2 linked regions of the Mus musculus genome follow. The protein of the gene in region 1 interacts with the protein of each later gene in a biochemical or structural test. Links are inferred from orthologs where the notes say so. Each region holds a gene or a part of one and is shown in the gene's direction. Other genes may lie near its edges.

What was found.
Region 2: the proteins of Shc1 (region 1) and Gab1 form a complex in vitro, tested with the Homo sapiens proteins (2 studies listed by BioGRID and IntAct, with this or other methods). The link is inferred for Mus musculus from reciprocal best matches to the Homo sapiens genes SHC1 and GAB1.

Annotation. Positions count from the first base shown.
Region 1 is NC_000069.6:89,427,523-89,430,539, forward strand, and holds the end of Shc1 (SHC-transforming protein 1), read left to right. Parts: intron 1-794; coding exon 795-923; 3' UTR 924-2,507; downstream 2,508-3,017. UniProt on the Homo sapiens protein: Signaling adapter that couples activated growth factor receptors to signaling pathways. Participates in a signaling cascade initiated by activated KIT and KITLG/SCF.
Region 2 is NC_000074.6:80,877,654-80,881,969, reverse strand, and holds the start of Gab1 (GRB2-associated-binding protein 1), read left to right. Parts: upstream 1-1,490; 5' UTR 1,491-2,366; coding exon 2,367-2,438; intron 2,439-4,316. UniProt on the Homo sapiens protein: Adapter protein that plays a role in intracellular signaling cascades triggered by activated receptor-type kinases. Plays a role in FGFR1 signaling. Probably involved in signaling by the epidermal growth factor receptor (EGFR) and the insulin receptor (INSR).

The DNA of each region.
Region 1 (3,017 bases):
ACTCCTTTGCCCTTGCTGGACACTTGCATCCACCTGCAGTGGCTCAGGGTTCCTTCCCTGCTGTCCTCGAGTCTGAGCTGTGTTCTTCTCAGTTCTGACCAGTCCTCACATCCCAGTGAAGCCTGCCAGCCCCCAGAGAGTGCTTACTTGATCTTTTGCTAAGTGAGGAAATGACACTGGAAAGGCAGTGGTGCCCAGTGTCAGTGGTTAGGGGGTGGAGACCCCAAATTTTCTCTTGCAAGAGGAGTCAGGAGCCTCCCTAGCTCCTTAGCTTCAAACTCAGGGTTTTGTTTTGTTTTGTTTTGTTTTCAACAAATCTAACCTGCCTTACTATTCCATACAACCTTGGTTTCTTTTCTTTTTCTTCTTTTTTTTTTTAGGGGAGGGGTGGTGGTGAGGTTCAAGACGGGGTTTCTCTGTGTAGCCCTGGAACTCACTCTGTAGACCAGGCTGACCTCGAACTGAAGCGCTCCGCCTGCCCTGCTTCCCCAGCGCTGGGATTAAAGGCTGTGCCGCCACCGCTCTGCTCAGTTTCTTTTCTCTTCTCAGCATTTTTTCCACCTTGGTTTTGCATTGTGTCACTTTTGAGAGACACCAGCTTCCTTCAAGTCAGAATTTTCACTGTCAGCTTCCGTGATTTCTGGTCTCCTTCCCCTTCGCCCAGTTCACTGCCCATTCCCACCCATGTGACTGTCTTTTCTGTAAAGATGCCTGGATAATCACGGCTGCTGGCCCGCCTTCCTCAGTCTTCCTGAGCTCTTCTCTTGACCCAACCTTCTCTCCCTGCCTCCCAGGTTCGGACAAAGGATCACCGCTTTGAGAGTGTCAGTCACCTGATCAGCTACCACATGGACAATCACTTGCCCATCATCTCTGCGGGCAGCGAACTGTGCCTACAGCAACCCGTGGATCGGAAAGTGTGATCCTTCTCAGCTTCTCCAACAGGATGCTCTCCATTTCCGTCTCCCGTATTCTCTAACTTGTGGGACCTCTGTTTTGTGGGTCTGGCCTTGGGTGGGAACTGGGAGCAACGAGGACATGGGTTTAGTGCCCACTTGAGAGAGAGAAAAAGAGGGTTTCAGTAAGGAGCCTGGGGTAGCATCCTGCCTCTGGCCAAACTTCACCAAAGTATTAATGTGCAGAGTGGTCCCTTGTCTGGGCCTTGCCTGTGCCAACCTGATGCCCTTCCCCCCCAAAGGGTGGGTTCTTATAATGGAAAATGCCCTGTGATGATAGGCCCAGTGGAGCAACTGCCCTTTGGGGGAAGGGAAATAATTATACCTCTGGTTTACTCCTGGGTCTTCAGGGTACCCCAGATCCCGCATAACATATCCCACTCCCTCTGCTTCCCCTTAAACTTTGTGCCTTTGACTATCATAGGTCTGCAGATACTTAATGCAGAGTTCTCAGGCCCTTCACGTGTGGACAGGGGTTACTGCCACCTTGGCTTCTGGAGCCCTGTCCTATTCAGCACCCCTTCCTGTGTCTAGGGAGAATAGGGACAGGAGTGGCCGCTATCTGCTCTGCCTTTCGGATGTGCAGCCCTTAAGAGATTGCCCCAAGCCTGAATATGGTGGCGCACGCCTTTAATCACAGCACTCAGGAGGCAGAGACAGGAGGAATTGTGAGGCCATCCGATCTACAACAGAGTGAGTTCCAGGACAGCCAGGGCTATGGAGAGAGAACCTGTCTCCAAAAACCAAAAAGAGCGATTACCCCAGAGCCTTCTTCCTGATGGTAGCGGGGAGGGGCAGGACTGGACCCATCTTGCTCAGTGCCTCCTGACCTCAATGCCTTTCCTCCAAGGGGTCTGTATACATTTCTCAAGCCTGCTCCTCCCATGTTTGCATGTGTGTTATAGTCTACAGCCAAAGTATAGCCCTCACTGTAACCCCATCCTGCCTCCCTCCTTTGGGATAGGTGTGTGCGTCTGACTTGGGCCTCCAGGGTGTGTACAGTCAGTGTGGGTTTTGTGGAGGCAATAAGACTGAAGCAGTAGACAATCCCCAATACCATTTGCAGGTCTGGAACTGCACTCTCTTTTTTAAAAAACATGTATACATTTTAGGGCTGTAGATTTATTTTCCTGGTTTTGTTTTTCATTGCTGACTTTTGAGCACAGAATTATGATAATCAATTACATTTATACATCACCTCGATGACTTTTCCAAACTTTTATTTTTTTTTTTAAACAACTGTTGGGATTTTACTCCCTGGCCTTAACTAGGACAGGATTGTACCCCACTCCTCCCCCCCCCCTTTTTCTTTTTCGCCAAGACAACTGAGCAGAAATTTGGCTGAGCAGTGTTGTGGGACTATGATGTGATAGTTTTAGATCCTACCTTCTGCTTTCGGGCAGCTGCAGCCAGCACAGAAACCTTGCAAGCTCACTCTGTGTGTAGGCTTTCTGGACAAGGAATGGTCGCCAAATTTTTGGTTTGGATGTCTTATACCAAAGGGAAATAGTCTTCATTAAAGTTCGTATTTCTTTTACCTCGGCCTCTCAACTCCTCTGGAAAGTCTGATTGATGGGGGCTGTCTGTGGGAGGTGGTGACGGACCCCATCTGGGCTAGGTCCAGTGGGCTCCAAGCCAGCGCCAGCCCGCAGGCACCAGTTTGCAGAGATTTGGGGAGCTGCGAGGCTGTGCGGTAGGGACGTATCTGCAAGGCGACTGGCTCGCGGCGGGAAGGGGCGTGTCCGGACCGCCCCCAGGCCCACCCGCAGCTCGCACGGCCCCTGTCGAGTGGTGCGTTCCACTCTGCTACCGGGCTAGCTGGGCGGCGACAGGCGCACTTCGGAGGAGTGGCGTGGCGAGGCCCAGCCTTCCTGGGTGCGGCGTCTGGGCCCTTCCCTGCTTTCCCTCCCCACCGCGTTCCGTGGTGGTGACCCATTGGAGTTCCGGTTCCGGTTGCTGTGGCTGCGGGCGGGCGGTGAGTCTGGAGCAGGCGCGCAGTTGGTGCAACGGCTCTGTGCTTTCCCCCTCGGCGTGGCTAGGGCTTGCTGCTGCTCGGGGGGG
Region 2 (4,316 bases), on another chromosome or scaffold:
ACAATAATCCTCCTGCCTCAGTTTCCCAAGTGCTGGGGTTGCAGGTGTAAGTTTCTAACTGCAGGTGTAGATTTTTGTATATAGAAATGGAATAAGTGAAACTTATTTGGGAAAAAAGCTCTATTTGAAATTCCAAAAGTTAAATAATACAAGATAGATTACACTTTTCCATTTCAAAAGCACTTTATGGCAAAAACAAAGGGCACTGTCTCTTCTTATATGCAAGGGCTTTTGTCTTATTATTAACTTAGCATCTACTTTTCTTTTCTTTCTTTAATTTCTTCACTCCTGCCTCCATGTCTCTCTCTAGTCTTTCTTTCCCTCCCCCTCCCCTACCTACCTTGGCAGGCCTGGGATTACAGGGGTTCTGCCAGGCAGGGCTCCCAGCACCTTTTCCTCTTTACGACCCCCAAGGTTTCAGACTCAGAACACACATTTATTAGGAGAGCCCCAAACTCATGCTTCTCAGAAATGCTTGTTTATCTATTTGTATTTTCACACAAACTCCCTTTTTGAGACAGGGCCTCTTTATGTAGTCCTGGTCGCCTTAGAACTCACTTTGTGGACAAAACTGGCCTTAAACTCACAGAAATCTGCCTGCCTCGGCCTCCCAAGCGCTGGAATTAAAGACATGCATCACCATGCCCAACTCTTTAAAATTTTTGTCTGATTATATTGCCTTCTAAAATTTGTTCCAAGGCTTTGTTTCAAACACACCCGTAAAGAAGAGTCTGTTACAAGACTGTGTCAAACTCAGCCCAGATATAATAACTGTAAAACACACAAAAAGGCAAATAGAATTAGGGTACCCAGAATGATTTCTTTTCCTGTCCAACATCCTAGCGCAGGTTTTAAACAAACACAACGCCAACTGGAAGAAACAGCCCATGAGTGGAAGCAGTGTGAGACTTTATCCTGTCTTAGAGATACACGCAGCTGAACGCTTTGTGGAGGCTAAGCGGTAGCATCACTCGGTAGAACAGCTCCTGGGTCAGGCCCTAGGCACCCAGGAGGTCCCCCACCCCCTTGGTCTCTGGGTGCACAGTGAGGGTCCTAGCGCGCTCCTGGTCCGGGAGACGCAGTCCTTCAGTCTCTCGAGCAGCCAGGACCCGCTTGAGTGAGTTCTCCTCCTGGCTGGGTTATTTTTTCAGACTGTCAAGTAGGGAAATCCTTCCGAAAACTCTGGATCGCGAAGGCACAGCCGAGTACAAACTCCTGACCCTGGGGGTTGTCAAGATGGCAAACTCAGTCGGAGCTGGCGAGAGTGCCCGGCACTCCCGCTCTCACACTGGGGTGGCGCTGCGTTCCCGGAGACCGCCGCCTTCCATAGCGCGCGGGCCCGGGGCGGCGGGGCGGCGAGGACCCCAGCGCGCCTGCTGACTACAGATCCCAGGGTGCCTCTGCCATCTCGCTCCCTCCCAGCGCCGGCCCCGCCTCCCCAGCCCTTGTTGTTTTGGCTGGAAGCGCTCCGGAGGAGTTTCAGAGAAAGTCTGGGCTGAAGCTAGAGGCGACCGATCGTGGGAAGGGGAGGCAGAAAGGCTAGGAGGAGGAGGGCCGGGGCCCAGGCCGCGCCTCCCCGAACCCGCCGCGCGCCCCCGGGGTGGGGGAGGAGCGCAGGGGACAGGACAGAGGGGTCCCTCCCCGAAGCAGAGCCGCCCTGCGCCTCGTCCCTGTGCTGATCCCCGCCCTCATCCGAGGCTGGAGCGCAGACCCACCCTCCCACCGCGGACCCGCGACCTCCCCGACGCCCGGCGACGCCCTGACCCTCGCTGCTGGTCCGCGAACTCCCTAGGCTGATCAGGACCTGCCCCTGTGCCGGCTGCCACCCGGACGCCGCACGCCTTCCCAGGCGCCCTTTTCCGAGCAGAGGGAAAGAGAAGATCGAGCCCCTCTCAGTGTGAATGCGCCAACGGGCGGAGCGGAGCGGAGCGGACACCGCGCGCGGGCATTGTGTGTGCGCGTGCAGCGTGGGGTCCGCAGCGGGGAGCACCCGCGGGAGGTCCCGTTTCCAAGGGGCGGAGCGCAGGGCTTCCAGTTCTGGGCTCCCTGTCCGGACAGAGTCCCAGCGGAGCCCGACCGCTGCCTAGGCGGCGGGACGGCGCGCCTGGCGGCCAGGAGGGCGCACTGAAAGAAGGTCGGCGAGCCCTGGTCCCCGCGGTTCCCGATCGAGTTCCTCTTCAGTCCGCGAATCTGCGGGAGAGGTTCGATCGCCGACACAGGGCGCGGGGAGCCGGGCCGCCCCGTCGGGGGAATCTGAGACGTCCTCTGGGCTGCGTTTGACTGCCGTGCCCGCCGTGCACGGAGCGCGTCCACTGTGTCCACCGACCCCTTTGGTGTCTGGTCCTCGAGTCCTCACGGCGTGCACCATGAGCGGCGGCGAAGTGGTTTGCTCGGGATGGCTCCGCAAGTCGCCCCCGGAGAAGAAGTTGAAGCGTTATGTAAGTACAGGTCAGGTCACCGTCTGCCCCGCTGCAGCAGCCTGCGCGCCCGGTTGGCTCTTCCACGAATCCCGCCCTCCTTTTCCTCGATCCGTCTCTCGGCCGGCGGGCTCCGGACCGGGTGCGGTCCACTCCCACCCTGACGTCCACTCGGCGGCCAAACTTTCTCCCTCCATATTGCAGACTGCCTCCCTTGTAGGCCTCGTTGCCTGTTAGAGAAGCCCAGTTTTCCAGCTCAAAACTGGCTGCATACTTTGGTTGTTGTTATTTCCATTTAGCAAGGGTGGAGTGAAACAGGGAGAAAGAGCCTTCTTTTATTATCTGTATCAGATTCTCATGGAGCTGTTAAATCTCCCCTCCCCGAGAAACCGCGGAGGTAGTAAGTACTCATGGGTTCTCGATTGGGTCCGCGCCCGCTCTCCTTTGCGCCTCCAGGAGGTGGAGGGAAGTGAACTGTGGACGCAAGAAGTGGATAATATAGGCAAACTTCTCAAAATATTCGCTCAAGGGAAAGGGGAAAAAAGTTCTTATGAACCCTGCCGTCTGCTTAGCATTTTCATGGTTTTGCTTTGAGGACACTGGATTTTGGCCTGAGAACCCTGGCGGTTTGATTCGGCAGGAGGGCGCTGGGGGGAGCCTGGTGGCTGGTGTTTGGGCGCCTTAGAAGCGCTGTCAAGCCCCGCAGGAGGGGACAGCTGAAGCCAACAGGGATTTCTTGATGCTGGCGTTTCTTTTCCCGGGCACCAGAACGGCTTAACTGGTATTTGCGTAATTGATTCAAGATGCTGATTGTGAGATGACTGTGTTCACGGTTAGGAAAACTGTATCTTGAAGGAGCCTATAATACTTGAGTGGAACTATATCCTCATCGGGAATCTAGGGTCCTAAGTCTTCCTTCAGATTGGCTAATTTTGCGATGTACCCTGTCAGTAAAGAAATGACACTTTGTACCGGCATTTGAAACAAGTATTTTTAGGGTGAAATGTGTTTCCCAAAAGCAAAACGTGTACCCACTTAATTAGAGTTTACTACCTGTTTTGATGAAACCTGTTTCTGGTGGAGGGGCGTCTACACCAAGAATCATCGGACTACTCGCTTGCTTGTGTGAAACCAGGCAATATTTATTTTCACGGAGCTCACCAGCGAGTTTCGGGCTCACCTTCTGGTATAATTTAATACAGCCAAGTAATTTCATTGAAAGATGTGATTTGACAAATTGTCAGAGGTTCCCCAAAGATGTCTCTCCATCTGTCACAGTTTGCTTGGATTTCTTGGTAAAGATGGCAACTTGATTCCAGAAATTTGAGAGTGGCAGTGACATCTTCAGAATTAGTTCTAAAGAGACGATTGTGGTGAGGCGATGAGGGGTGAGGAGATAGAGGTAAGGCACTATTTAGGAAAGACGGTTTTAGGATTCTTGAGGAAACTAAAGTACAATATATTTGCTGATCATGCAGTCCGGTGCATTCTTTCATTACTTATGGCCTGCCAGACATACTGAGTTCTGTACTAGGCACCAGCCACAAGGTAAGGAGAAAAGCCTTGCAGGGAAGGAAAATGACAACTAATAAGGGACAGATATGGTGGTATTATATGCCCAATACCACCCAGCACTCCAGAGGCAGAAATGGGAGGCTCCGTGGACAAACTGGTCTCCATAGCAGATTCCAGGCTAGCCAGGACCGTGTCTCAAAAATAGAAAACACAAGCACAAAAACCAAATACAGCTGATTATTTATAAAGATATTAATAATAATATGATTATGTTTACTTATATGTATCATTATATGACCACAGCAATGTTCTCCCACAAAAGTCCCAATCATGCCAAACCTGTTAGCTTCTGAATCAGGGAAGAGTGATTGAATTCAGGGGGGT